Linked DNA regions of Macaca fascicularis. Each later gene encodes a partner of the first gene's protein in a complex. Links are inferred from orthologs where the notes say so. Each region holds a gene or a part of one and is shown in the gene's direction. Other genes may lie near its edges. The genes, in order: RAD18, UBE2B and MAGEA4.

The links.
Region 2: the proteins of RAD18 (region 1) and UBE2B are in contact, whole or in part, in a crystal structure (PDB 2YBF), measured with the Homo sapiens proteins. The link is inferred for Macaca fascicularis from reciprocal best matches to the Homo sapiens genes RAD18 and UBE2B. Residues at the interface, in NP_064550.3 of Homo sapiens: Tyr342, Arg343, Lys344, Lys345, His346, Lys347, Glu349, Phe350, Leu353, Val354, Gln356, Ala357, Arg358, Lys359, Gly360, Tyr361; in NP_003328.1 of Homo sapiens: Pro20, Val22, Gly23, Val24, Ser25, Gly26, Ala27, Ser29, Glu30, Gln35, Asn37, Ala38, Val39, Phe41, Gly42, Pro43, Glu44, Glu49, Asp50, Lys54, Leu55, Val56, Leu73, Ser74, Asp151, Ser152.
Region 3: the proteins of RAD18 (region 1) and MAGEA4 are in contact, whole or in part, in a crystal structure (PDB 9BD3), measured with the Homo sapiens proteins. The link is inferred for Macaca fascicularis from reciprocal best matches to the Homo sapiens genes RAD18 and MAGEA4. Residues at the interface, in NP_064550.3 of Homo sapiens: Ser348, Phe350, Gln351, Leu353, Val354, Gln356, Ala357, Arg358, Lys359, Gly360, Tyr361, Lys362, Lys363, Ile364, Ala365; in NP_001011548.1 of Homo sapiens: Ser111, Val114, Asp115, Ala118, His119, Ser158, Lys160, Met161, Ile162, Ile204, Ile205, Gly208, Thr209, Met212, Glu224, Glu225, Val228, Met229, Gly230, His237, Val239, Tyr240, His290, Val291, Val294, Asn295, Arg297, Arg299.

What each region holds. Positions count from the first base shown.
Region 1 is NC_088376.1:147,213,697-147,223,840, reverse strand, and holds the start of RAD18 (E3 ubiquitin-protein ligase RAD18), read left to right. Parts: upstream 1-4,331; 5' UTR 4,332-4,440; coding exon 4,441-4,491; intron 4,492-8,682; exon of another isoform or gene 8,683-8,762; coding exon 8,763-8,844; intron 8,845-10,144. UniProt on the Homo sapiens protein: E3 ubiquitin-protein ligase involved in postreplication repair of UV-damaged DNA. Postreplication repair functions in gap-filling of a daughter strand on replication of damaged DNA.
Region 2 is NC_088380.1:140,906,491-140,916,702, forward strand, and holds the start of UBE2B (ubiquitin-conjugating enzyme E2 B), read left to right. Parts: upstream 1-5,506; 5' UTR 5,507-5,635; coding exon 5,636-5,679; intron 5,680-7,808; coding exon 7,809-7,889; intron 7,890-10,097; coding exon 10,098-10,123; intron 10,124-10,212. UniProt on the Homo sapiens protein: E2 ubiquitin-conjugating enzyme that accepts ubiquitin from the ubiquitin-activating enzyme E1 and transfers it to a E3 ubiquitin-protein ligase. In vitro catalyzes 'Lys-11'-, as well as 'Lys-48'- and 'Lys-63'-linked polyubiquitination.
Region 3 is NC_088395.1:157,988,949-157,998,950, forward strand, and holds the start of MAGEA4 (melanoma-associated antigen 4), read left to right. Parts: upstream 1-3,472; 5' UTR 3,473-3,489; intron 3,490-4,093; exon of another isoform or gene 4,094-4,112; intron 4,113-8,377; 5' UTR 8,378-8,446; exon of another isoform or gene 8,447-8,450; intron 8,451-8,525; 5' UTR 8,526-8,590; coding exon 8,591-9,544; 3' UTR 9,545-10,002. UniProt on the Homo sapiens protein: Regulates cell proliferation through the inhibition of cell cycle arrest at the G1 phase. Also negatively regulates p53-mediated apoptosis.

The sequences.
Region 1 (10,144 bases):
ATCTTACTCATTTTCTTACAAACTCTCTTTTTTTGTCCTGGTTCCACGCTCGCCCCCAGGCTGCCAGCTCCGAGAGAGCAGAGACCATATCTGTCTTATTCACCTCTGTATTCTAGCACCTGGCACAAGTGGGGAGTGGCTCAATAAACATTTGTTAAAATGAATGGAGGAAGGGAGAGAAGGAGGCAGGGAGGAAGGAAGAAAAAAATAAGGAAGGAAAGAAGGACAGAAGGAAGGAAGGAAGGAAGGAAGGAAGGGGAGAGAGGGAGCTCCTTTAATATCCCCTTTCCCATAACTAGAATGAGGAAGATGGGGCCTAAAGGAAGAGAGAGTGCTGGGCAGAGAGGAATAGGATGAAGAGAACCTGGAAAGGAGCTCAGGGGCCACAGGACATCCCCAGGTTAATCCAGGGCAGGTCCCACACTCAGTTGGGAGAATGCTTCCCTAATTAGGGTTGCCAGATTTGCAAATAAAAATACAGGATGCCCAGTTAAATATTTGAATTTCAGCTAAACAACAAATAATTGGTTAATATGTTGTGTGCAGTATTTGGGACAGATTTACACTAAAATGTTGTGTGCTGTTCATCTGAAATTCAAATTTACTGGGCAACTTGTATTTTATCGGGCCATCCTATTCTGGCTCCTCACTGTGTGCTGTGTGCCACTGAAGATTGCACTAAACACTAGCCTGCTTTTATTTTACATGGAACATTTTGTTTTTAGTCCTGAATAAGGAAGTACAATCTCTTTATTGATCTAACAGAAGGAGAAAGTTCGTACAAACAGCAGCTTGTTAAGAGGAGAATGGCTCCCAGGGTTAGATAAACACCCAAGACAAATGCCTTCTCCTGAGCTCAAAGTGAGTTTGTGTTCTTGAACTTTCCTTCCTGGGCTCAGAGGTGGGCTAGATGGGATCTATCTCCCTGGGTGCTGCTGAAGATGGCAGGAAGAGGAACGCTCAGCCTGGGAGGAAAAGATTTATGGGAATGTGGGCTTAATGGGTGATTCATCCATTCATTCAGCCTCACCCAGCAGCTATTGGCAGACACTCAGAGATGAATGGCACCGGGTTCTGTCCTGGAGGCTCTCCATAAATAGGGAAATGAATTTTGGCCCCAGGACCAACATGTACTGCCTTCTTCCAAATCTGTCTCCATGGTTGAATGCAAAGAGTACATTTTTGTCCCTGTCTTTTCTCTCTCTCCCTTTCTCCTTCCCCATTCTTTCTCTTTTTTCTCATCTCCTCTCTCTTCCTCTCTCACCTTTCCAGCCATTTGTCACCTTAAACCTAATTACCTTGTCCAACTAGTACTGTGAAAAAAACGATTACTGGTTTACTCAGGCCACGGACCTGGTCTTAGATGCTTTTCCCTTGTCTCTCCAAGACCCCACTTCTCCCGCATCCAGAACTATCCAACATTTTCCAGTTCAGCCTGGCATTTATTTGCATGCCGTTCTATGATTGGCTGATACAAAGCGGGGGGCGGGGGTGGGCACCGTAAACCTCCATTCCTCATCTTCCTGTTGGGAGTCCCACTAGGTCCAACAACCTCAGATTCTCAGACCTGGCTCTGCCCCTTGACTTGGTTTGCTTAACTGTTTCTCCAAAAAAAAAAAAAAAAAAAAAAAAAAAATCAATGGGTGATTTCATCTGGCTAGAGGTTAAAAGACCTAGGTTCAGTCCTGGACAATGCCACGCACAAACTGTGGTTTATGTGAGTCCCCTCGCCTCTCTGAGACTCAGTTCTAATGATGAAGGCCTTATGAGAATATTCTGTAGTGGTTAATATGGACTCTCGAGCCAGACTGCCTGAGTTCAAATATTTCATCTTCCACTACCAACAGGGTGCCCTGTGAATAAGTCAAATAAGTACATATGTGTAAAAAACTTAGAATGGCGCTTTGCATAACAAGGTCCTAATAAATGTCAGCTATTATTGTAGTGGCTATTAAAGTCCTTTCTCTAAATGCTATTAGTATTAATATGATTGCCCAGCAAGTATTTGGGCGCAAGCTGGGAAAAATCAATTTACTACAGCTTTGGCTCAGAGGCCAGAGGGTTCTTATGAAGAGAGCTCAGAGGAGTGAAGTCGTAAGCTCTCTGAACCTCAGTGTCCTCATCTGTAAGATGGCAATAACAATCTGATCTCTGCCTGTTTCCCAGGAAAGCTCAAGTGTCTGGCCCATTGTAAGCATTCAGAAAATATTTGTGAAATGAAGTAGTGAATGGACCACGTGGGGCGACAATGACATGGCAAGCTGCAGGGTTCTGCCCTGAGCCACATCTGTGCTACTTGCTGCCTGTAAGACTTGATGCAACAGAGGCCTACAGAAGGCAGTTGGTGAATGCTGAGTTGAACAGACAGGCTGAGTGGCGTGCTAATTAGTGCTTCACATTTGGAAACAAGCACTCTTATAATCTCTTGGTCAAAGTGCAAATGTATCAGTGTAGCCTTACTGGAGGACCATTTAGTGCTACCTATCACAGAGAGCACACAAACCGACCTATCAGTTCCATTTATAGAAAATCATCCCCAGATATCTTGACTCAAGTGTGCCAAGATTTATAGAGATAGCATGTTCACTGCAGCTCTTTGCAATAGCAAAAAGAACTAGAAACAACCTAAATGCCCCATAATACAGAACTACACAAATAAATTGTAGTACATCCATATTATGGTCTATCTAGCTATTAGAAGGAATGAGATAAATTTATATGTACAAACATGTAGAGGTCTCAAGAGGTATGGTGGTATGGTTAAGTAAACAAACAAAACCCTCAAGTTGGCAGAGCTATGCATTTAATATAACATGTATGAAAAAAAGTATCTATGTTTGTATCTTGTTTAAGAAAAAAATTGTCCAGTGATACTTGTTAAAGCACAATAAGGAAGACTTAATCAGGACAATTCAAGTAGGTATACAGACCACTGCAACTGGGTCTTGTAATTGGTGAAGACTGGGCTCAACTCTGAATACAACATGAGCAAATGGAAATTTATAGACAGGAAGCAGGGTGGGGAGCAGTGCATGAAAAATTACTAAGAGGAAACATCAGGGGTAACAGTAGATTCTTGCTGAAGAGGCCAGGGTGATCAGACATCAACTGGGGGACGGTGGAGGATGAGGAACCCATCAGATATCAAGGGTGATCACATATCAAAGGTGGGGATTCTTGGTAACTTGATTTAGCAGGGTTTTTTTTTGCTAAAACTGGATTTTTTAAGGAAGTACACAGATTGGCCTAAGAGAAGGTTCAGGAGCCTGATTAAAGTTCGCTCAAGCAAAGAATGTTTGTCAATCTGCCTAGGAAGTATCTGGAAGGCTATATGCCAAAGTTAACAGTGCTTCTCTCTGAAGAAAAACTGTACATTAAAATTTTAATATTGTAGCAGGACGAGCCGCAGACAAAACTTCTCAGACACTGGTTAAAGAACGAAGAGGTTTTTTATTCAGCCGGGAGCATTGGCAGATGCATGTCTTAAGAGCCGAGCTCCCGGAGAAAGAAATTCTTGGCCTTTTTAAAGGCTTACAACTTTAAGGGGTCCACGTGAAAGGGTCGTGATAAATCAAGCAAGCGTGGAAACATGCCTGGGAGCTACGTGAATCAACTAACAGAACAAAAAGTTTTACAATGCTTTTTTCATACAGTGTCTGGAATTTACAGATAACAGAAGTAGTTTAGGCCAGGTTGATGTTATTATTATTACTTTTTTTTTTTTTTTTTAACTCTTAGGGCCGGATGGTGGTGCCAAGGTTGTCTGGCTATTTATCTTACTTTTGTTTCTTTCTAACTGTTTGCTTTCTCTCTTTTCTTCTGTCTTGTGAACCAGGCAAGGTGTGGGGAGGACGGCAGCAGGAGTAGTAGTGGTCTCCTTCCTTAATATGAATAAAAGCAAGAGCTCCCTTTTAAAGCCCAGATGTCTTATTTGGAATCTGACTCGAAACTCTGTCCTCTTTTTTCGGGCGCAGCCTTCCTCTTGTGTAAACTGACAATGATAACATTTACCTCCCAGTGTTGTAAAATGGGAGAGAGAAAGTAATGGATATAAAAACTTCTGTTCAGAGCAGGGACGGATCGTCATTGCGATCAGGGTGGGCGACCCGAAGGGGGTCATGAGCTTAGACCTTGACAGATCTGTCGTGGTCTGGATTTGGTTTGATTCCTGGCTATCTTTTCTTAACATTCAACTGGCTCTAGGTTTTCTAACCCACTCACTTTCTTCAAGGTAAGTGTGGCAGAAGCCTGGCGCATGCGCAGTACAAGCACCGTAAGCGGCGCCCCGCCCACATACTACTACAACTTCCGGCAGGCTCCGCGCCCGCCTCAGGCGCGTCGCGGGTTGCTGACGTAATGCAGTAGCGCGGGGAATTTCGAGTGGTATTGGAGCGCCAGAGGCTAGTGGGTGGCGGACCCCTAGCATCTTCGGGAGAGACCATGGACTCCCTGGCCGAGCCTCAGTGGCCTCCGGGCCTGGCAGTCATGAAGGTGAGTGCTTCGGAGAGGTTGGGAGCTCCCGGGTGTCTGCGGGGGGAGGTCCCTCCCTTTGAGGAGGATGTCTTCGCCTTAAGGAGAAAGGATGAGGCGCGAGCGTAGCCCTGGGCCAGGGTACCCGGCTCTGCTCTGCCACTAGCCGACCGCGTGGCTCTGGGTCTCAGTTTACTCCTCTGATAAGTGCCAAGGACAAGCCTGGTGAGCTGAGGTTGGCAGTCTTATGGAACCAGATATTCTGCGATCCAATCCCAACAATAACTGGGAGAAGAGCAGTTATTCTAAACAGTGACATCGACAGCTGATCTTTACTGAAAGCTTACTTTGTGTCAAGCACTAAACAGTGACACCGGACATGGTTTTGGGTGGAAAGTTTATCAGATAACATGTATGTAATCACGTAGCCGAGCAGGTAGTCTCCTTTACAGGCTCTTTCATTTATTCTGATTATTCTCAATAAACCTAGTGCTAGTTTGTTGTGACATGCTGCCCCAACTCCTCTCTAACACACCCTCACTCTTCTTTAACAATTGCTCATCTCTCCGTCTTTTAAACAGAGATCAGGACTCAGGCCCAGCGCTGATCTTGCATTGCATCTAATGATTTCACTTAAATAACATTTATTTTTGTGGCCACTTTCGGTTTCAGCAAGGCATACCAGTTTCCATTTACAGTAGCGGTGGGCCCTGGATTTGCTCAAGAGCAGATGCACTTTGCTGTGCTGGCTAAAAATCAGTTGCTTAGTTTCTTCTTGCTCTGTGATTATTTCCGTTTCTGACAGTGGCTAAGGTAGCCTTCTTCTCTTCCTCAGTTTTGTAGACTTGGGGATTATAGTATCTGTCCCACTGACTCATAAATTTGACTTTAGAATTAAGTGAAGGCTAAAGTAAGTAGGCCTTGTTCTTCCTGCTGTTATCAGTGACGTCTAGAGTGCTTGCGGACTTGAGATACCTGCATGACGAGAAGCTGACATTGTGAAATGATCCAAGAAAACTGTAGTTTTGAAGTTGTGGTGGGCTTGGTACCAGGATGCAGTGGAGAAGAGCACAGATATGAGTTCCAGTGGTCCTGGGTGAAATCTCTTCTCTGCCTCTTAACTGTGTGACCTTCAGTTATTAACTTAACCTCTCTGAGCCTGAATTTCTTCAACTATAAATTAGAGACAAAAATAAACAGTTCATAGGATTGATTAAATAAATTAGTTGATGTATGTGGGCACAGATTCTGCTGTGTATTCACGTGCTTAATGCAGTGCCTGACACAAAGTGGGTGCTCAAATATTTGTTGCTTGATTGAAAGTATCTGGAATGTAGTAAGCATTCAATGAATGTATTTTATTATTATTAGCACGGTGTTAAGTGCTTCTCTCCCCTTTTAATTTGTTGTCATGAAGCTTGACTTGGATAAGGAAAGTAAAAGAGCTCTGTAACCTGTAAAGCTCCTGCTTTGTAGATTTAAGCATACTTTACATATTCCCACAATTTCAGTGTTCTTTAGAGGCGGGTTCCATGTCTTCTCTGACTTTGGTATCCCACCACAGCACTGAATGTAGAGTTTGGCACCACAGGGTGTTCAGTGAGTGTTCAACCAGAGAGTTGATTGAGCCCATATTTTTTGCTCACATTAGAATCATGGAATCTTAAGGTTAGAAAACCAGTCCCTTTCAGTATTTTAACCTCTTGTATAACACATCTGCCAATTTCTCACTTAATTTTTGCTTGAATTCTTCCAGGGACAAAGAACTATCAGATCCCAGAAGCAGATCTGACTGAAGTTACTTCTTTTATTGAATAGAAGTCTGACTCAGAATGCATGGTTGCTAACTTAGGATCCACAGAAAGACTTTGGAGTCTCAAGTTATTTGTAAAATTTTTGTATGTATATTTTTCTGAGAAGAGAGTCCATAGTTTTCATTCAATTTTCAAAGGAATCTGTAACCCCAAAAACTTAAAGAATATTTTTGTAATTATTACATTTTTCCACCTGTTTTCTACTTCTCTCTTTCACTTTCTCTCTCTCTAAAGTAAAGAAATTTTGGGGGATCTGCTGGCCACTCTCTATTTAGGCATCATTTTTTGTTTGGTTGGTTGAGGCACATGTGATATGCATGTTACTGTCTTGGAGTGACATGACCAGAAATTTTAACAGAAATAGCTCATCTGATGTAGTGTCAACTTCCACAAATTGTGCGCTACAGATCTTTCAGAATCATTCCTCCACCAGAAGAGGATGGCATAGATAAGAAAGTGTGATATGATAGACTAGTTCTGGCTTCTGGGCCTGCCTCTGCTCTTAATTTTTGTGTCTGTGACAGCTTACCATCCACAATAATGGAAGATTTTGGCAGGTTTTACTTTAACAAAAATTTACTGTTTTTGGCAGATCGTAAATGTAATATGTGTACACAGTAGAAAAAAATTAAAATTCAGAGTAAGATAAAGGAGAAAAATAAAACCATCCATGATTCTACCACCCAGAGAACCAGTGTTTAACATTTTACTTTATTTTCCTTTGGTTTTTATGCATTTAAAATTTGGGACCACTGTGGAGTCAACTTCTTGGGTTTGATCCAGCCAACTTAGGAACTCTGTAGGCTTTATTTTTAAAATTGGGATATTGATGCTGTGGACTTCGTAAGATTGCTCTGAAGATTAAACTGCAGAGTTGTTATGTATTATTGGCACAGATTTATTTTCTGATTTTTATTTTCCTATGGCATTAATTATCCTTTGAAAGCATGTTCTTTAATGACTGCCTAATATTTCATCATATGAACCGTTAGTGACATTAGTCTTTTTTTGTTTAAATTTTTAAAATTCAGGTAATAGGTTCACATGGTTCAAAATACACATAAAATAAAAAGTAAAAGTCGTCTTCTTACCATGTTCCTGGCCCTGATCATTATTTATGACTTCTTGTTTATATTCTCATAATTAATTTATATTTACGATGAAAACAGAATGCATTCTTTTTTCCTTTTTTTTCTTTTTTGAGATAGGGTCTCATTGTCGCCCATACTGGAGTGCAGTGACAATCACGGCTCACTGCAGCCTTGAACTCCTGGGCTAAAGCAATCCTTACACCTCAGCCTCCTGAGTAGCTGGGACTATAGGCATGCGTCACTACGCCCAACGAATTTTAAAATTTTTTATAGACATGGATTTTTGCTATTTTGCCCAGGCTGGTCTCGAACTCCTGGACTCAAACAATTCTCCTGCCTTGGCCTCCCAAAGTGCTAGGATTACAGGCAAGAGCCACCATGCTAGGCCTATTAAAATACATTCTTATTCACCTCTTCCTTTAAAAAAACGGTAGCGTAGAATATGTACTGTCTGTACCTTATTTCCTTTATTCACTTATCTTGGCAATCTTTTCATACCAGTATGAAGGAGAGCATCGTCAGTTTTGCTCTGTCATGCAAGCTGGAGTACAGTGGTGTGGTGTGGGCTCACTGTAGCCTACGCCTCCTGGACTCAAGTGATCCTCCTGCCGAGAGCTTCCTCCTTTTAAAAAATATTTCCATTGAATGGAATACTATTTTAAACAATTTGAAAGATTTTAAGTTGCAAAAGTAGTTCCTTTCCTTTTGGATTGCATTCCAGGTTGGCACACATCTCTCTTTCCAAGTTGTCCACTTTCCCTTCCTCTGCTTTCACTGCCCCAGCTCTTTCCGGGCTTCCTCATTTGGCTCCATTGCGTGGTACCATGCAGAAAGCACTAGACTGCCAGAAGGGAGACAGGAATTTTGGTTTTGACTTGACTAATGCCTACTATTCTGTGCCTGCTCTTGATACCAGTTTCCTCTTTTGACTAGACAGTTTCTAGTGTTTGGCTTTAACATTCTTTGATTTGATTCTTAACCTGTGTGGTGGCAATGGCCACCTTTCACCCAATAGTGACTATAGGCTAAGTATTGGAATCCGAAGAGGAGGAGGCTTGGAGTAAGAGCTGGAAGTGCATTAGAAGTGGAACAGAAGTACAGTAGCCTTTATGTGAAGGGATGACAATATGGCACAAGAATCGGTGCACCATCATCTTTAGCTGTCTAAAGCGATTTGGGCAACCTGAGACTGAATGTATAAGAGTCATATGAGAGAAATTTTTCTTTATTTGTCAAGATCCCTTGCAGTTTATCTGGAGTTAGCTTTTGAATTTGTGTATTTGACAAAGAATTTGAATTTTTTTTAGGGGATAGAGAAAAACTTTTGTGACAAGACTTCCAATTTTGATGTCTTTCTGATACGTATATATGCACATTTGCATTACAGACAATAGATGATTTGCTGCGGTGTGGAATTTGCTTCGAGTATTTCAACATTGCAATGATAATACCTCAGTGTTCACATAACTGTAAGTATGCTTTGTTCCTGTGAGTTAGTAAATTGTGATTTTTACATGAGGTAGTGTTAATTTAACACCAAAGATACGTGCACATATTTATGTTTCACCTTTAGCTCTTCTATCTTGTAGTTTTTCAGAAGGTCTTTTTCACTGCCTTCCTCTTGAATATTGAAGGTTTTTACAAGGCTTCTATATTTTCTACCTCGTTCCTCCTTGATATGTTTATGCCTTTTATAGCATTTATGGCAGTAAAATTTTTGGTCACAATAAGTGATTCTTTATTTGCCAAAGTGCTTTTTGATGTTAAGTTTCAGAATTTTTGTTTTTAACAGGGTAACAGATAGGTGGTTCCATCAAGTAGTACTTGATATAGAATTTCAAAGTTTAAAAATTCTGTAGCAGTATTTCCCCAGTGGGAGAATTCTATCACTGGCTTTATTACAGACAGTTTTATAACTTAACTGCTATGTGATGCTGGAAAGACTCACATTGGAATTTGTTTGTACTTCTCTTTATGAGTCTAGTATATAAGCATTTAAAAATATTGTACCTTGAGATATTTAGTGCATAGGGGTTACCCTGTCATTGTTGAGGAGCTAGACACACAGTTTATGGGTTATTTAGGATATTTAGGTTCATGGTCTTTCTTGTCCTCTATTTTTGATTTATCTTGGAAAGTTAAAAAACAGTCAACTTAGGCCTAAGAAATTGGTTTTAGTTGGTAGTAGCTTTGGTGAAAAAGTTTATGTAGAGAAGACATAATAAGAGGATAACAGTGATGGAAACACGGGCTTTAGAGACATCCTTGGGCTTGACTCTTGAAAATCTGGTGAGTAATTACTACTTCAGAAAATGTTTGTGAGAATTAAATGTGCAGAACTCACTGCACATTATGAGTCCTTAATAATGTTAGTTTTCTTCCAGACAAGATTCGCATTAAAACCAAGTTAAGTTTTGGAGATTGTTTTAAAATATATTTTAACATCATCTTTATTTGGGTATAATTTACATACAATAAAATACATCCATTTTAAGTGCGCATTAAACTATAAAAGTGTTAATGAATTTTGACAAATGTGTATGCTGTGTAACGACTGCAATTAAGATACTGAACATTTTCATTATCTGATAAATTTCTCCGCATCTCAGTCAGTATGACCTCAGCTAGCCATCTGTAGTCTATTTCTGGACTTTTTTGTTCCATTGATCTTAGAAACTTTTTCACCAAAACTACTGCCCACTAAAACTATTTTTTTAGACCTAAGTTTACTGTTTTTTAGCTTTCCAAGATAAATCAACTTGAAAATAG
Region 2 (10,212 bases), on another chromosome or scaffold:
TCTCCCTCTTATCTAAACCCTCCACATCCTTCAAAGCCAAATTCATGTCCCAGTTCCTCAGGAAAACTTTCCCTACCAGCGAAAGGACTTTGTGTTGATTCCCTGGCATTTATTATGAGCCACTTTTTATTCGGTATGATTTTTTATATACTCTCCTTTCTGATTAAATTATAGAAGTCTTTAAGGGCAGGAACTATCTTTCACCTCCTTATATTCTCAGTACCTAGCACCATGCCTTGCACAAAGCAGAAATTTTTATTATTATACTTGAATATTTCTGAATAATTATTAAATAATATTGGCATAGCTTTTGTTACATACCCCAAAACACATATATCTTGTATCACTATAAAATTACAAAAGGTAGACAAGATAGCGTATTACACTTGTTTCTACATAATATGAATCAGTACATGTGTGAACTAAAATATTTTTATGCAATTTTTTATTCCATAACAATTTTTCTTTTGACTTAGATGATTAAGGCAAAAGAAGCAAACCTTTAGAAACTTTATTTCTCTCATCGCAATTTTGTTGACAGATTGTTCTGGTCTCTCATAAAATATCTTAATGGCCACTATCTGCCCAGTATTCTTATGTTTACATTTCATGACTGTTCCGTAACTTCCCTCTCCCACTTTTCCAAGGGTTTCATACATCTCCATTTTCAAGCTGGGCTTTTACTACTTTATAGAAATAAAGAAAGAAAATGGAAAATGTTAAACGTTTATACTTTTATTTATTCAAACTAGATAATGTATATGCACAATAAACTCATAGTTTAAAATATAGAGACATTAAAAAAAAAAAAAAAGGAATCTTTTCCACTGAGCCTTTTTGTCTTTGGGAACCAAAGACTGCTTGAGTAAAGTGTCCTTCTGAGGCTCCAACTCTCACCAGAACTTACGGGTACTCCTGCTGTTTCGGTCATGCCCATCAACACTGAGATTACTTCACTATAAGTCACCATCCATCAAGCATGGAGTCCCCACACTTCCTGTCATGTTCCTGTCAAATAATAGGTTCCCGCACTACTGCAGTCGCCCGCTTATCAGGCCCAAGGTCCTAAAAAAAGCCTGATCCCGCCCGCAACTCAAACCAGACGTCTTAGGATGCCGGACCGGCGTCACGCCCCACGTCCCGCTGTCGACTTTATCCAAAGAGCCGCCGCCGCCTCAGCCCATTCTGTGGTCCCGCTGGCCTGGCTCTGCGTAGTTCCAGTGGGGCTACGGAACACTGATACTACTTCGTTGCTTAGCCCCGCAAAGATCAGGCCACTCGCTACCATGGAAACGCCAGCAGAGTTGCTGCGTTCTAGCCCTCGTGCGCAAGACCGGAACATGGGCAGGGTCCTGACCCGGAAGGGGAAGTGAGAAGAAACGGAAACCTGCTCTGGGTAGGCAGAGGGTGGAAGAGTGCTGCGCTTGGGAATGGGGGCGGGGAGTACAGGTCGCTGTCACAGCTGAGCCTCCTCACAACGTTGCTTTTGAATGGGGATAGGGAGGGTCTGCCTTTTTTTGTTGTTTGCTTTTTTGAGAGAATTGTGCAGTGGCGCCGATCTCGGCTCACTGCAACCTCCTTCTCCCGGGTTCAAGTGACTTTCCTGCCTCATCCTCCCGAGAAGCTGGGATTACAGGCGTGCGCCACCACGCCCGGCTTTGTATATTTAGTAGAGACCGGGTTTCTACTATGTTGGCCAGGCTGGTCTCGAATTCCTGACCTCAGGTGATCCGCCTGCCTCAGGCTTCCAAAGTGCTGGGATTACACGCTTAAGCCACCGCGCCCGGTCAAGATGGTTCTTAAAAACTTTTCTTGAACACCTGCCATACGCCTTTAAATTTTTTCCAACTGCTAGTAATGTTTTTTAAAGGAAAAAACCTCCCTCACCACGTGTCAAACTCTAGGGAAGCAAGTAATTCGAAGGGTTCCACCATATACGAAATGATGTACAAGAGCGCAGAAATAAAGAGGCCAGTGTTTAACTGCTTAAGTAGACATAGAGTTCAGCTGGAGTGACAGTCCCTAATGAATAACCACCGTATCACTAGAGCAAGTGCCTAGGGAGTGCTTTCTTTATTGAATAGGGCTTTCTTTGCTTTTTTTCTATAAAATGAGTTAAATGTAAAAAGCGAAATCTCGCCATGCTTCCACTAAATAAGAGGAAAGGCAATACTTAATAAATTCTAGTCCGGTGGGTACCGCCCCAGCATGCATATTTAAATCACACTTGGAGAGCTTTTAGAAAGCAACTCCCAACTCCCACATCCACACCCCCGCCCCAACACCAGAGAGCCTGATTTAATTGAGATAGGGTAAATAAATTAGTATGTTTGAAGCTTCTCAAGTTTTCTATGCTGCTACGGTTTATATTGAGAGAAAGGAGAAGTGGTCATCGTTTTCACTGATCACCTAAAATATTCAGAATTGTCTTATTTGAAAGTTATTCAGCAGGATGCGGTGGCTCACGCCTGTAATTGAACACTGTGGGAGGCCGAGGCGGGCGGATCACGAGGTCAAGAGATGGAGACCATCCTGACTAACATGGTGAAACCCTGTCTCTACTAAAAAATACAAAAAATTAGCCGGGCGCGGTTGTGGGCGCCAGTAGTCCCAGCTACTCAGGAGGCTGAGGCAGGAGAATGGTGTGAATCCGGGAGGCGGAGCTTGCAGTGAGCCGAGATCGCCCCACTGCACTCCAGCCGGGTGACAGTGAGACTCCGTCTCAAAAAAAAAAAAAAAAGAATGTTATTCAACCACAATATAAAACACCTTCTATAAATAAGAATGTCATAGTAAATCTTATAGTGGGTTCAAACTTCGTGTAAGCATATTATTTGCTGTGGGCAAAATATTTGCAAGGAGGCTGCGCACAGTGGCTCACACCTGTAATCCGAGGGAAGCCAAGGTGGGCAAATCACTTGAGCCCAGGAGTTCCAGACCAGCCTGAGCAACAGGGCAAAACCCCGTCTCTACAAAAAATTAGCCGGGTGTGGTGGTGCACACCTGTGGTCCCAGATACTTGGGCAACTGAAGGAGAATTGCTTGAGCCTGGAAGGTCAAGGCTGCAGTGAGCCCTCTTCACACCACTGCACTCCAGCCTGGGTGACAGAGCAAGACTCTGTCTCAAAAAATAAAAAAACATTGCCCAGGACAAAGATGAACCAAACTCAGTCCCTGCCCTCAATGAACTCATAATCCAGAGCTACAGAATTGATAACAGCATACAATTAATAGCTTTAAAATTATTCCTTCTACAAGTAGGTTATGGCAGGCCTGGTTAACCAGAACAGCCAGTGATTCTTGCTAATACACAGCTGTAAGACTTTATGATGCACATGCACTGAATTAGTTAAAAGTGTTAATTCATTTTGGAAAATTTAAACTGTTTCCGAAACAATTATAAATCCCTGTAGTCACGGAATTCCTAAACTCCATTGCCTCCAGTTCCCATCTTTAGGACTTTGTTGGTGCGTCAGGAGGACTCAGCACTTTTGTATCCATTCTTCAGCTCAACAAGGAAAGGGAGGTAGGAGAAGGACCTCAGCATTGCCCTAATCTTGCCCATAGTTCCATGGAACCAGAAAGGGTTAACTTTTCCCACTTTCCTTGTACCTCCCTTTTTTCAAACCCTGAATTCTGTCTCTGCTTTCAGTGACTGCCTAGACTGATAAATTATAAGGGTTTTTTGGTTGTTGCAGGGTTTGAGACAGGGTCTCAGTGGCATGATGATGGCTTACTGCAGCTCAAACGATTCTTCTGCCTCAGCCTCCTGAGTTGCTGGGGCTACTCGTGTGCACAGAGACAGGATCTCCTATGTTGCCCAGGCTGGTCTTCAACTCCTGGCCTCCCAAAGTGTTAGGATTACAGGCATGAGCTAATGCCCCAGCTCATGAGGGATATTTTTAAGATATAGTTTCTATTTACCATTTTTCTCCATGTAACCCTGCCTGTGTGTCTTCCTCCTTTGCTATTGGAAGGGTTAGGACTGCAATGGCAGAAAAGCAAAAACATTAAGAATATTCAGCTTTTAACTTAGAAAACACATTGTGAATGTCTAACAGGACCTATCAAGAGTTAGGCCTGGCTAACTTGATCACTAAGGCAGTCACTGGAAGCTGAGAGAATTCAGGGTTTGAAGAAAGAGGTACAAGGAAAGTCGGAAAAGTTAACTCTGCTTCCATAGAACTAGGGGCAAGGTTGAGGCAATGCTAAGGTCCTCATTCCACCCTCCCTTTACCTGTTGAACCGAACAATTCCCCAAATGGATACAAAAGTACTCAGAGTCCTTAGTATAACAAAGTCCTGAAAGTAGGAATTAGCAGCAATACAGGGAAAGACAGTAACTACAAAAAATATTCAAGGTCTGTGGGAGGTCAACACCTCTGAACCCCCTGGTGGTGGGGGGGCACTTCTCGCCCATTTGCACCTTTCTTGCTAGTGTAAAAAACCTGAAGTTGTCTCAGGCTGGATAGATAACCCTCACTCAGGTCTGCTGGAGCTCTCCCCCACATATGAATCATATTTGTAGGTTTCTTTGACAACCAACCACTCATTGATATGCTTGGAAGACTGCACCCCCACATTCTTAAAAATACAATGGTACTCCCCCCCATAGGCAAGTCCCCGGACTCTGACACATATCTTCAATTGAAAGCAGACCCAGAAAGGAAAAACTGCATAATACACCATCCTTTAATGTTTGCCCAGAATTTCCAATACTAGAAACCCCACTGCAAAGCAGAAAGACTATTTGGTAGCTTCAAGGAACCATTTCAGGAGATTGTTGTGTGGCCCTCAGTATTCAATGCTGCCTTAGAAGATCTTGCGATCCTCTCTCTTCTTGCCCCAAGTACCAGAGTTCATAAGCCACTGAACCAACCAGAGGGGAGTTATTTTTGGTCCCGGTTTAAAGAAAACAAAACAAGCTGTTGATCCTCCCACGACCTCTTGGGTAATGTCTCTATACCTGTGATAAACCGAAAACAACTAATAAAGGTGTATCCAGCCCTCACCCTCTTAGACCCGCTTCACAGACCTGGCCGAAACTCACATCCAGGCGAGGCTCTCACGTGACCCGTTCTAAACGCGTCACAGGGACACGTGGTTCTAGATACTTCTCCCCCTCCCCCTCAGGGGTGGATTGTTGACAAGGCCGCGGGCAGTCACGTGATCTTACATCATCCCACCTCCTTTCCCTGAAATCCCTGGCCCGGATACGTCCTTCTTTCTCCACCCCGCCGAGCCTAAACTAGAGACGGGGAGGCAGACAGGATAGTGTGTCGGTTTCGTGGTCTCTGAATCCACAACCTCTAGTCTGAACACAGAGAACACAAATTTGTCGATCACTTCAGGAAGCCCAGGAAGAACCACGCCCCGCTGAAGGGCTCAGGGAACGCGCGCTCCCCCGTCCCGCCCCCTCCTCCCCCAGCACTCACTCTGTGGTAGCGGCGGAGGGCGGAGGGATCCGGAGGCGGCGGAGGGAGACGTCATTGCAGGGTTGTTTGTCAGTCTTGGCGGCGGCGGCGGCGGCGGCGGCGGCAGCGGCGATCCACAGTGATTCGGCCGCCGCGCCGGGGGGTGGGGGGGCTGCGCGGGACTCTTTTCTTTCAGACTGACCGCGGGGCAGCTGCGGAGCATGTCGACCCCGGCCCGAAGGAGGCTTATGCGGGATTTCAAGCGGTAAGGGCCTTCAGCTTCGCATAGATGACGGCCTCTCAAAGCTGCGGGGCTGCAGGGCGTGGATCCCGGACACCTTCCCCTTGTGACCCTCAGAGGGCCGGCTGTGGGCCCAGGGGGACTGGCGGAAGCCGGGTCCTACCTCGGCCCCTACTCTCCTTATCCTTGCCGCTCGCTCTGGCGCCCGAAGAAATTTCGATACTGCTTCCCCTCCCCCCAAAAAGTAAAACGATGTCGATCGACTGGTCTAGGGTTCCCCGCTGCCCATTTCGGCCAGCTGCCCGGGGTCTCGTCCAGGGGATCAGACGGGGATCAGACATCATCCTCCCGCCCCTGCACCCTGCGGAGACCCTTTCTTGTCCCCTCAAAGTGAGCTCCCGCGGGAGCTTGTTCTTCTCCGGCAGCACCAGTCAGCTTTGTTTCACGGCCCCTCAGTCTTCTCCGAGGAGCCGGGTTGGGGTGAACCTCCCCAGCCCCCCACCCTCGCCAGTCCTTTCCATTTCTGCCGTGAGGGTGGGGTCCAGTGCGTGAGGCTCGGAGGTTAACCCATCCCCCGAAACCCGACTCTGTCCCCGCCCGCCTGAAAAGACCTTGGGAACTGACTTAGAGATCTGGGACCTTAGAGCTGGCCACCCCGGCTGCCAGTGCCTTCTGGAACTCAGATCTGGCTGGTGAAGAAAGCCCTATCTATAGCCTCCCGAGTCTGGAAAAATGCCTTCCCTTAGACTGGCGCTAATTTGATACTCCCTGGGCCTTCTTTGGTAAATAAAATAGGGTTTTGTTAGGAGGTATTGGGGTTGTGAGGAAGAAAATGATTATTCCGTTAGTTTACCTTTTATTGGATACTTAGAGACGTAGAAAAAACAAAATAACGTAGAAAAAACAAAATAAGTGAGAAAACATTTTGATATTCTGCACATTTTTCTTAAAATTTTTTCTGGGGACACCTACCCTAATTGAACAAAATAGCATAAAAACATAGATTTGTCGCTCAGGAAGTCACCTCTCAGCTATTATAAAGCCTATGTGAGGCATTTGGATTTGGCCAACTTATTTAATTCATTCGTAGCTTCTCTTAGCCATTTAAAGGTAGGCGTCAAGCAGTGCAGTTCCTCTAAGGCTTCTGTTTGTGGTGGCCTAATTTGCTTGAGATTGACTAAAAACCTTTTTTTTTATGTGGACTAGTTGCAAATTATGATGCCCCATGAAAACAACTCCATATGTATTTGTGAGTGTGTATAATGTAGCATTTTTAATTGAGGTTACAGTCTCTGAAAGGAGATGCCCTTTTTGGTGCAAAAGTCATTTTTCTAAAGCTTGAAATCAGTGTATCTGATTAGCACTCATGACTAAAATTCAGATAGTAAACTAGTTCATGTCATTGTCGCCCTGGCTCCTTACTGTAATGCTCTGCTTAATTCTGAGTTGAATACATGGCACCTTTTGTAGTTTTCCAGAGATCTATAGGTTACAAGAATTTGACTATGACGAATGTGGGAAAGCCTTGTATTGAGTCTCCTGATTTGAGAGGTAGATTTGATGTTAGTGCAGAGCCTTTAAAATAGGGACTGGCGGAAAACCTACTGATTACTTTTTAAAGCCATTGCTGTTTGAAGCAAAAGGGATAGAGTAAATCTGCTGCCTAATACTAGTTTCCTAGTTAAATTTAATGTGTTTTCAGTCATTTCGTGTTTACACTGAGGTTTGCTTTTTTTTTTTTTCTTGTAGCCATTTTGCAGAAGTAGCCGTGGTTAGGATACACAGTCTTTGCATGTTTAGAGCAGCAAAATCAATGGTTCTGTAAAAATATTACTTGCTTTTGAGGTTTTAAACTTTTTTTGGTATAAGAGGACAGTCTATATACATCAATTCTTGAAGAGATACTCTTGATAATATTGAAAGAGGGATGATTCTCAAGCCCTTCGGATTTTTAGGTAATTTGGAGAGGTATTTAATAAGTATATATACCTGGTTAATATATCTAAGTCATATGGTTCATTTTAGTTCACAATAACAAGGAAATGGAGTTAGTCTGTGTCTCAAAATAGATGGTGTAGTGTCTGTAGGTGTTTATGTGGCCTCCTTAGTGGCCTTAATGTTCAACTTTTTAAATTACAACGCTGGATTTCTAGGTTACAAGAGGACCCACCTGTGGGTGTCAGTGGTGCACCATCTGAAAACAACATCATGCAGTGGAATGCAGTTATATTTGGGTGAGTTGAAAGGTTTAACAAATAATAGGTGTGTGCTGAATCTTTAAGAAAAGTGAACATATAACAACTGTCTAGGAAAAGAAACTGAGGTAGAATGAGAGATCTTAAGGACTAAAACTGCAAGATAAATTAGAAAAAAATTTTTTTCAATTAGAGTTTTGGCCCAGCACAGTAGCTCAACGCCTGGGAGGATCGCTGGAGCCCAGGAGTTCATCACCAGCCTGGGCGATATAGTGAGACAGTGAGACTCTGTCCCCTCTCCACCAAAAAAAGAGTTTTGGCCCAGTCTGGGCAACATAGTGAGAGACCTTGTCTCTACAAAAAGTATAAAACTAACTGGGCATGGTGGTGCCCAGCTACTTGGAAGGCCGAGGCAGGAGGATCACTTGAGCCCAGAAGTTTGAGGCTGCAGCCAGCTATCCAAAAAAAAAAAAAAAAAGGGAAAAAGTTTCAGCAGTTATACAAAGTTTATTTGCTCTTTGATGTTATTACATATGGTTTTATAATCACTTGGGGTTTTACTTTTAAGATACTACTCAAAACTAAATGGAATGGAATAATAAAGGAGAAACAATAAATTACTTTGTATAAAACATATCATGCAAATGCTCTCATTCTGTTGGAGCTGTTAAAAGGTTTGGAACCAAAAATATTAAGAACTTCCACTGCTGCAAGAATTTAAGTGAAAATGATTCACAGCCCAGTGTAAAATAACAGAATGCAGCCATTTGAGAAGCAGCTGTAAATTTTACCTACTATATATATTGCATATATGCTTTTTAATTTAAAATTTCCTTATGCTTTTTTTTGTTTTTTCTAGACTTGATCTATTTTTTTCTTTCATTCCTTTGATACTAGAGTTTTGCATTAAAAAGTAAAAGGAATATGTTGATAAACAGAATTCTGACACTACAGAATCAGCTACAAGAGTCTACATTTAAAGACTAGTGGAAAATGAGTGAAGTTCATCCTCATAAAGTACTTCTGAATCTGAGTTGAATACATGGCACCTTCAGGATATTATCCTGCTGCTTTGAGATCCTGAATATGCCTTGCAAGTAATAATTAAGCTTTATGCTGCTGCTTAGGAAAGATGAAATTGGGATGTGGGGGCAAGGATCTGAGCAAACAAATCTGGCTCTTTGGTGACATCAACTATGCTTAGCCTATTTGAACAAAAGTTGTGGCTCCATTGGAAAGCAGGACACTTGGGTTTAGCATCATAACTAGAGTATTGCTTTACTTCTTATTGCTGTAAAATGAAAAGATGACTTTCCCTCTTAAGAATATACATATGGGCCAGGTGCAGTGGCTCATGCCTGTAATCCCAGCACTTTGGGAGGCTGCGACGGGTGGATCACCTGAGGTCAGGAGTTCAAAACCAGCCTGGCCAAGATGGTGAAACCCCATCTCTACTAAAAATACAAAAATTAGCTGGGCGTCTGTAATCCCACCTACTCGGGAGGTTGAGGCAGGAGAATTGCTTGAACCTAGGAGAAGGAGGTTGCAGTGAGCCAAGAATGTGCCATTGCACTCCAGCCTGGGGGACAAGAGCAAAATTCCATCTCAAAAAAAAAAAAAAAAAAAAGAATATACATATGTACAAAATGACTGGTCAGCATTAATGAAAGTTTTTAGGCCGGGCGCGGTGGCTCAAGCCTGTAATCCCAGCACTTTGGGAGGCCGAGACGGGCGGATCATGAGGTCAGGAGATCGAGACCATCCTGGCTAACCCGGTGAAACCCCGTCTCTACTAAAAAAGTACAAAAAACTAGCCGGGCGAGGTGGCGGGCGCCTGTAGTCCCAGCTACTCGGGAGGCTGAGGCAGGAGAATGGCGTAAACCCGGGAGGCAGAGCTTGCAGTGAGCTGAGATCCGGCCACTGCACTCCAGCCTGGGCGACAGAGCGAGACTCCGTCTCAAAAAAAAAAAAAAAAAAGTTTTTTTGTGCTAAAATTATGGGCAAGTTTTTTTGTTTGGTTTTGTAAAACCACCCTAAAAAGAAAGCTTAGAATGAAAGTTATACTTTATGCCTGGGTCTATGAAAATTCAGGGCTAAAGTGTTATTAAACTCTATCTTAAAACTCCACAAATCATCAGAATGAGTTCCTCTTTTTCTGTTGGAGTAAATTTATCCTTTCCCATTCTTGAAAATCAAGAAAAAGCAGAATGAGAAACTTCTTTTAATCAGAAATCTTCTTGTTTTCAGACCAGAAGGGACACCTTTTGAAGATGGTAAGTCATACTCATTATGTTTTCTATAGTGTTATGAGGTTACTTTTTGGTAGAAAATTGTAACACCAACATATCTACTTGAAGCCATT
Region 3 (10,002 bases), on another chromosome or scaffold:
TGGAGTCAGAGCTTGGAGTGATCAGTGCAAGACTGGTGAGGGCAGGCTCTGCCGGACGTCAACCTCAGGACCATAAGGGAGGGGTGGGCGTACCCCACTCCTATTCCCATCCCCCACCCGCATTCCCATCCCCCAGCCCGTTTCCATTCCCATTTGCACTCCCAAACCCATCCACACTCCCATCCCCCACCAGCGCCGGTATATTCCCTAAACCCCCACCACTTTCATACCGCCATCTCCCACACAAAAGTTCCCGCCCCCTCCACAACGTCACCTCTCCCTCCCCCATCCACGTTGAATCAGGTTCCGCTTCCGCTTTCAACCCAAGAAAGCCCCAGGTGCCCGGATGTGAGGCCACTGACTTGCGCACTGTGGGTTAGAGACAAGCGAGCTTCTCTGTGTGACCGGCAGCTTGGGATTGGCGGAGGGAAGCAGGCCCTGTGAGGAGTCAAGGTGAGACGCTGAGGGAGGACTCGGGAGTCCCCACCCCAGATAGACGACCCCAAATAATCCCGGACCACCCCTGCTGCCAGGCCTGGGCCACCCGTGGGCGGACTTCTGAGTCTGGGGCACCCACCACCCCACTGCCTCTGAAGTCACAGGGGACTCTGGAATCAGAGCTTGGGGTGATCAGTGCAAGACTGGTGAGGGCAGGCTCTGCCGGGCATCAACCTCAGGACCATAAGGGAGGAGTGAGCGTACCCCACTCCTATTCCCATCCCCCACCCGCATTCCCATCCCCCACCCGCATTCCCATCCCCCAGCCCGTTTCCATTCCCATTCGTACTCCCAAACCCATCCACACTCCCATCCCCCACCAGCGTCGGTATATTCCCCAACCCCCCACCACTTTCATACCGCCATCTCCCACACAAAAGTTCCCGCCCCCTCCACAACGTCACCTCTCCCTCCCCCATCCACGTTGAATCGGGTTCCGCTTCCGCTTTCAACCCAAGAAAGTCCCAGGTGCCCGGATGTGAGGCCACTGACTTGCGCACTGCCGGTTAAGAGAGAAGCGAGCTTCTCTGTGTGACCGGCAGCTTGGGGTTGGCGGAGGGAAACGGGACAGGCCCTGGGAGGAGTCAAGGTGAGACGCTGAGGGAGGACTCAGCAGGCCCCTACTCCACGTAGACGACCCCAAATAATCCCGGACCACCCCTGCTGCCAGGCCTGGGCCACCCGTGGGCGGACTTCTGAGTCTGGGGCACCCACCACCCCACTGCCTCTGAAGTCGCAGGGGACTCTGGAATCAGAGCTTGGGGTGACCAGTGCAAGACTGGTGAGAGCAGGCTCTGCCCGGCATCAACCTCAGGACCATAAGAGGGGGCTGAGCTTACCCCACACCTGTTCCCATCCCCCACCTCCTTTCCCATCCCCCACCCCGTTTCCATTCCCATTCACAACTCTTTCACTCTCCCACCCCCACCAGCAATCCTATTCTCCCCAACCCCCTACCACCCTCATACCACCATCTCCCACACAAAAATACCCCACCCCTCCACAAACCTAACCCCTCCCACCCCCATCCACGCTGATTCGGGCTCCGCTTCCGCTTTCAACCAAAGGAAGTCCCAGGTGCCCGGATGTGATGCCACTGATTTGCACATTGGAGGTTAGAGAGAAGCGAGCTTCTCTGTCTGACTGGCACCTTGGGCTTGGCGGAGGGAAGCGGACCAGGCCCTGTGAGGAGTGAAGGTGAGACGCTGAGGGAGGACTCAGGAGTCCCCACTCCAGATAGATGACCCCAAATAATCCCGCACCACTCCTGCTGCCAGCCCTTCGTTACCCATGGGCGGATTTCTGAGTCTGGAGCACCCACCACCCCCACTGCCTCAGAAGTCTCAGGGGACTCTGGAGTCAGAGTATGTAGTGATCAGTGCAAGACTCGTGGGGGCTGGGTCGGCCAGGCATCAACCTCACGACCAAAAGAGAGGGCTGAACGTACCCCAACCCTATTCCCCTTCCCTGATTCCCATCCTCCACCCTGTTCGCATTCCCATTCGCATTCCCAAACCCATTCACACCCCTATCCCCCACTAACCCCTATCCTCCCCAACCCCCCAGCACACTCATACCGCCATCTTATACCCAAAAATACCCGCCCCCTCCACCAACGTCACCCCTCCCACCCCCATCCACGTTGAATCAGGCTCCGCTTCCATTTCCAACCCAAGGAAGCCCCAGGTGCCTGGACGTGATGCCACTGACTTTTGCATTGGGGGTTAGAGAGAAGTGAGCTGCTCTGTGTGACTGGCACCTTGGGATTGGCAGAGGGAAGCGGGCCAGGCCCTGTGAGGAGTCAAGGTGTGACGCTGAGGGAGGACTCAGGAGGCCCCCACCCCAGATAGACGACCCCAGATAATCCCGGACCACTCCTGTTGCCAGCCCTGGGCCACCTGTGGGCAGACTTCTGAGTCTGGGGCACCCACCACCTCACTGCCTCTGAAGTCGAAGGGCACTCTGGAATCAGAGTATGGTGTGATCAATGCAAGATGGGCGGGGGAAAGGTTGGCCAGGCACCAACCTCACAACCAAAAGAGAGGGCTGAATGTCCCCCAACCCTATTCCCCTTCCCCACCCCCATTCCCACCCCCACCCTGTTCGCATTCGAACTCCTAAAAACCATCCACAATCCCATCCCCCACTAGCCCAGGTATATTCCCCAACACCCCACCACCTTCATACCACCGTCTCCCACCCCAAAATTCCCACCCCCTCCACCGTCACCCCTCCCTCCCCCATCCATGCTGATTCGGGTTCCGCTTCTGCTTTTAACCCAGGAAAGCCCCAGGTGCCCGGATGTGAGGCCACTGACTTGCACACTGGGGGTTAGAGAGAAGCGAGCTTCTCTGACCGGCACTTTGGGATTGGCAAGGGAAGGGGGCCAGGTCCTGTGAGGAGTGAAGATGAGATGCTGAGGGAGGACTCAGGAGTCCCCATCCGAGATAGACGACCCCAAATAGTCCCAGACCACTCCTGCTGCCAGCCCTGGGCCACCCATGGGCGGACTTCTGAGTCTGGGGCACCCACCACCCCACTGCCTCTGAAGTTTCAGGGGACTCGAGTCAGAGCTTGGGGTGATCAGTGCAAGACTAGTGAAGGCAGGCTCTGCCGGGCATCAACCTCAGGAGCATGAGAGAAGGCTGAGCTTACCGCACCCCTATTCCCATCCCCCACCTCCATTCCCATCCCCCCCCGTTTCCATTCCCATTCACAACCCTCCATCCCCCATCCCCCACCAGCAACCCTATCCTCCCCAACCCCCCACCACCCTCATACCACCATCTCCCACACAAAAATACCCGCTCCCTCCACCAACGTCACCCCTCCCACTCCCATCCACGCTTCCACTTTCAACCCAAGGAAGTCCCAGGTGCCCGGATGTGATGCCACTGACTTGCGCATTGGGGGTTAGAGAGAAGCTTCTTTGTCTGACCGGTACCTTGGGACTGGTGGGGGGAAGCGGGCCAGGCCCTGTGAGGAGTCAAGGTGAGATGCTGAGGGAGGACTCAGGAGGCCCCCACCCCAGATAGGCGACCCCAAATAATCCTGGACCACTCCTGCTGCCAGCCCTGGACCACCCGTGGGTGGACTTCTGAGTGTGGGGCACCCACCACGCCACTGCCTCTGAAGTCGCTGGGGACTCTGGAGTCACAGCTTGGGGTGATCAGTGCAAGACTGGTTAGGGCAGGCTCTGCCGGGCATCAACCTCAGGACCATAAGAGAGGGCTGAGCTTATCCCACCCCTATTCCTATCCCCCACCCCCTTCCCATCCCTCACGCTGTTCCCTTTCCCATTCCCATTCGCACTCCCAAACCCATCCACACTCCCATCCCTCTGCAGCACCCCATCCATCCTCCCCAATCCACCACCATCCTCATACCGCCGTCTCCCACCCCAAAAAGCCTGCCCCCTCCACCATCCTCATCCCTCCCACTGCCATCCACGCTGAATCGGGTTCTGCTTCCGCTTTCAACCCCAGGACGCCCCAGGTGCCCGGATGTGAGCCAATGACTTGCGCGTTGGGGGTCAGAGAGAAGCGAGCTTCTCTGTCTGACAGGGAGCTTGGGATTGGCGGAGGGAAGCGGGCCAGGCCCTTTGAGGAGTGAAGGTGAGATGCTGAGGGAGGACTTAGGAGGCCCCCACCCCAGATAAACGACCCCAAATAATCCCGCACCATTCCTGCTGCCAGCCCTGGGCCACCCGTGGGCAGACTTCTGAGTCTGGGTCACCCGCCACTCCACTGCCTCTGAAGTCACAGGCGACTCTCGAGTCAGAGCTTGGGGGGATCTGTGCAAGACTGGTGAGGGCAGGCTCTGCCAGGCGTCAACCTCAGGACTGTAAGAGAGGGCTGAGGGTCCCCCACCCCGTTCCCATTTTCATCCACACTCCCAACCCCATCTACACCCCCATTCCCCACCAGTACTCCTATCCTCCCCAAACTCCCACCACCCTGATATCCCCACCCCCAAACCTCTACCCCTATCCAGGCTGAATCACTGCCCTCATATCCCCACCCCAAAACCTCTACTCCCATCCAGGCTGAATCGGGTTCCAGTTCCACTTTCAACCCAGGGAAGCCCCAGGTGCCCGGATGTGATGCCAGTGACTTGCGCATTGGGGGTTAGAGAGAAGCTAGCTTCTTGGTCTGACAGGCAGCTTGGGCTTGGCAGAGGGAAGCCGGCCCAGGCTCTCTGAGGTGGCAAGGTGAGAAGCTGAGGGAGGACTCGGGAGACCCTCCCCACTGCAGATGGATGACCCCAAATAATCTAGCACCACTCCTGCTTTCAGCCCTGGGTCACTCGTGGGCGGACATCTGAGTCTGGGGCCCACCACTCCACTGCCGCTTAAGCCGCAGGGGACTGTTCAGTCAGAGCTTGGTGTAATCAGTGCAAGACTGGTGGGGACAGGCTTTGCTAACCTTCAACATCAGGACCCTAGGAGAGGGTGGAGCGTCCCCCACCCCATTCCTATCCCCTACCCTGTTCCCATTCCCATCCGCACTCCCAACCCCATCTGTACCCCCATCCCCCACCTGTGCCCCTATGCTCCCCAACACCCCCCACCAGCCTCATGCCCCCCACCTTCATCCCCATCCGTGCAGAATCTGGTTACACCCCTGCTTTCAATCCAGGCAAGCCCTGGGTGGCCGGATGTGATGCCACTGACTTGTGCATTGGGGATTAGAGGGAAGCGAGGTTCTGGTTCTGAAGAACGGCTTGAGATTGTCAGACAGAAGGGGGCCCAGGCTTTGTGAGCAGGCAGTCAGACTCTGAGGGAGGATTCAGGACACCCTTATCCCTGATAGAAGGTCCCAGCCCTGGACCATCGCGGAGGCTGACTTCTCAGGCTAGGCCGCCGCCTCCAGCTTCCCACCCCACCACCACCTGTCCCCACACCCGGTCCCCACAGGAGACTCTGGAGTCAGAGCGTGGTGTGACCATGGAAGGGATGCTTAGGAGAGGGCACTATCTGGGCTCTGCCAGGCATCAAGGTCAGGAATCTCAGGGAGGGCTGAGGGCCTCCAAGAGTCCACTGCAATCCCCACTCTCATGACCCACCCCCACTTCATTGCCATTCCCACCCCTATCCACCACTCCTATACCTCAACCCAGATCTCCTTCCGCTCTGCCTTTCCACCCACACCCCTCCCACCGGAACCCCCACCCTGGCAGAATACAGTTCAGCCCCTGCTGTCAATCCAGGAAAGTCCCTGGTACCCGAATGTGACGCCACTGACTTGCTCATTGGGAGTTAGAGAGAAGCAAGGTTCTCCTTAGGGGGAGCTTGACATCAGCAGAGAGAAGTGAGCCCAGGCTCTGAGGAGGCAAGGTGAGAGGCTGAGGGAGGTCTCAGAAGGGCCCCCCCCCAGATAGAGGGCCCCAATTAATCCAGCACCATCCCTACTGCCAGCCCTGGACCACCCAGGAGGCCGACTTCTCAGGCTGGGCTGCTCCCCACCACCGCCCCTGTTGCAACCCGTTTGTTTAAGCCACAGGAGACTCTGGAGTCAGAGGTTGGTGTGATCAGGGCAGGGCTGGTTAGGAGAGGGCATGGCCCAGGATCTGCCAGGAATCAAAGTCAGAAACCTGAGAGGGAACTGAGGTCCCCCAAGATCCCACTCTAACCCCCATTCCCACAAATCCCCTACCACTTCGCTGCCCCATTTCCCATTCCTTGCCCTCCAACCTCACCAGGCAGAATCCAGTTCCCCTTCTGCTATCAATCCAGGGAAACCCCAGACTTGGTGCTGGGACGTTTTGGGGGTCAGAGAGAATCGAGGGCATGGTCCTGAGGGGATAATTGAGATTGACTGAGGAGAGCAGGCCCAAGCTCTGTGACGAGGCAAGGTGAGACTCTGATGAAGGACTGAGGAGGCCCCCACTCCAGATAGAGGACCCCAAACAATCGAGCTCAGCCCCTGCTGCCAGCCCTGGACCACCCGGGGGAAGACTCAGGCTAGGCCGTCCCAGCTCCCACTGCCACTAAAGCCACAGGGGACTCGAGTCACAGCTTGGTGTGCCCAAGGCAGGGCCCAGGCTCTGCCTGGCATCAGAATCAGGACCCTGAGAGGGAATTGAGGGACCTACATTCCCACCCCTTTCACATTCCAGCATCCCCCCACCATCCAGATCCTCAACCCCATCCCCAATTCCGTTCTGCAGAATCCATTTTTTCTCCTGCAGTCAACCGACGGAAGACCTGGGAATGATCAGGCACTCGGATCTTGACATCCACATCCAGGGCTGAAGGAGGGAAGGGACTTGGTATCATGAGCAGAGCCTCAGGGTAGCAGAGGGAGGACCCTGGCTCTCCTGGGAGACGAGGAAGGACTCAGGAGACCCAGCATCCCAAGGCAGGGAGCCCACCCCACCCCGTCTGAGAATGAGGTGCCTCCTCTTTTAGCCTCGAGAATCCAAGGGATGGTGACTCAGGTCAGCAGAGGGGTGGGTTCCAGCCCTTCCAGGATCAAGGAAAGGAAGACGAGGGAGGACTCAGGGGTCCTTGCATTCCAGATCAGTGGACACCTGGGCCCTGGGAGGTCCTGAGCAAGGTAGCCACATGTAGCTCATGCTTCCTGCACCTTCGAGGTCACAGAGAGGAGAGGGCTATGGTCTGAGGATACCTGTGGCTCAGAAAGACGGGACCCCGCAGAGTCTGGCTGTCCCCTGTTCTTAGCTCGGGGGGACCAGAGCAGGGATGGCCTTATGTGCCAATCTTACTTGTACCATAGGCAGGAAGTTGGAGAACCTTCAGGAAGATGAGGTCTTGGAGTAAAGGGGCAATATCTGCTCATCTCAGGGGGTTGGGGGTTGAGGAAGGGCAGGCCCCGTTGGGAGCAAACATGAGTGACCCACAGGAGGCCATCAGAACCCTCACCCCAGGACCAAAGGGGTCAGCTGTGGACTCCCCGCACAGGGGTGACAGGATGTGGCTCCTCATTTCTGATTGCAGATCTCAGTGAGGTTAGGACCTTGTTCTCAGAGGGTTACTCAGGTCAACACAGACCTCTATCTGGTCAACAGACACAGTGGTCCCAGGATCTGCCAAGAGTCCTGGTGAGGAATGTGAGGGAAGATTGAGGGTACCACAGGGCCAGAACGCAGACGACGACTCCACAGAAATCAGCCTTGCTCCTGTTGTCACCCCAGAGAGCATGGGCTTGGCTGTCTGCTGAGGTCCCTCTCTTGTCCTGGGATCACTGATGTCACGGAGGGGGAGGCCTTGGTCTGAGGGGCTGCACCCAGGTCAGTAGAGGGAGGGTCCCAGGCTCTGCCAGGAGTTGAGGTGAGGACCAAGCAGGCTCCTCACCCAGGACACATGGGTTCCAATGAATTTTGACATCTCTTGCTGTCATTCTTCAGAGGACCTAGGCACATGTGGCCAGATGTGGGGCCCCTCATGTCCTGTTTCCTCTCAGGCATGTGAGTGCTTGATCTGAATTTCTCAGGCCAGCAAAACGGTGGAATCCAGGCCCTGCCTGGAGAAATGTGAGGGCCCTGAGTGACCACAGAGTGGACCATCCACTCTATGAGAGTGGGGACCTCACAGAGTCCAGCCTGCCCTCTTGATAGCACTGAGGGACTGGGGCTGTGCTTATAGTCGGCACCCTAAGGGCCCATGGATTCATCTCCTAGGAGCTCCAGGAACAAGGCAATGAGGCCTTGGTCTGAGACTTGTGTCCTCAAGTCACAGAGCAGAGGGTGCACAGGCTGTGCCAGCAGTGAATGTTTGCCCTGAATGCACACCAAGGGCCCCACTTGGCATAGGACACGTGGAACTCCAGAGAGTCTGACCTCACCTCCTGTTAGTCCTGCAGAATCGACCTCTGCTGGCCGGCTATACCCTGAGGTGCTCTCTCACTTCCTCCTTTAGGTTCTCAGGAGATAGGCCAACCCGGAGGACAGGATTCCTTGGAGATCACAGAGGAGCACCAAGGAGAAGGTCTGTAAGTAAGCCTTTGTTAGAGCCTCCAAGATTCGGTTCTCAGCTGAGGCCTCTCACATGCTCCCTCTCTCCCCAGGCCTGTGGGTCCCCACTGCCCAGCTTTTGCCTACACTCCCACCTGCTGCCCTGACCAGAGTCATCATGTCTCTTGAGCAGAAGAGTCAGCACTGCAAGCCTGAGGAAGGCGTTGAGGCCCAAGAAGAGGCCCTGGGCCTAGTGGGTGCGCAGGCTCCTGCTACTGAGGAGCAGGAGGCTGCTGCCTCCTCCTCCTCTCCTCTGGTCCCTGGCACCCTGGAGGAAGTGCCTGCTGCTGGGTCAACAGGTCCTCCCCAGAGTCCTCAGGGAGCCTCCGCCTTACCCTCTACCGTCAACTTCACTTGCTGGAGGCAACCCAATGAGGGTTCCAGCAGCCAAGAAGAGGAGGGGCCAAGCACCTCTCCTGACCCAGAGTCCTTGTTCCGAGAAGCACTCAGTAAGAAGGTGGATGAGTTGGTTCATTTTCTGCTCCTCAAGTATCGAGCCAAGGAGCTGGTCACAAAGGCAGAAATGCTGGAGAGAGTCATCAAAAATTACAAGCACTGCTTTCCTGTGATCTTCGGCAAAGCCTCTGAGTCCCTGAAGATGATCTTTGGCATTGACGTGAAGGAAGTGGACCCCACCAGCAACACCTACACCCTTGTCACCTGCCTGGGCCTCTCCTACGATGGCCTGCTGGGTGGTAATCATATCTTTCCCAAGACAGGCCTCTTGATAATCGTCCTGGGCACTATCGCAATGGAGGGCGACTCCGCATCTGAGGAGGAAATCTGGGAGGAGCTGAGTGTGATGGATGTGTATGATGGGAGGGAGCACAGTGTCTATGGGGAGCCCAGGAAACTGCTCACCCAAGAGTGGGTGCAGGAGAACTACCTGGAGTACCGGAAGGTACCCGGCAGTGATCCTGCACGCTACGAGTTCCTGTGGGGTCCAAGGGCCCTGGCTGAAACCAGCTATGTGAAGGTCCTGGAGCATGTGGTCAGGGTCAATGCAAGAGTTCGCATTTCCTACCCATCCCTTCGTGAAGCAGCTTTGAGAGAGGAGGAAGAGGGAGTCTGAGCATGAGTTGCAGCCAGGGCCTGGGGCGGGGGTAGGGGGGTGGTGGCTGGGCTGGGCCAGTCATCTGCCCTGTGCAGCAGCTTCCCCTGCCTTGTGTAGCATGAGGCCCATTCTTCACTGTTTGAAGAGAGTAGTCAGCATTCTTAGTAGTGAGTTTCTGTTTTATTGGGTGACTTGGAGATTTATCTCTGTTTCCTTTTAGAATTGTTCAAATGTTCCTTTTAATGGATGGTTGAATGAACTTCAGCATCCAAGTTTATGAGTCGTAGTCACATATATTGCTGTTTATATAGTTTAGGTGTAAGAGTCTTGTTTTTTATTCAGATTGGGAAATCCATTCTATTTTGTAAATTGGGACATAATAACAGCAGTGGAGTAAGTATTTATTTAGAAATGTGAATTCACCGTAAGATATGTGAGATAAAGAAATTAAAAAATACTTAATTCCTGCCTTATAC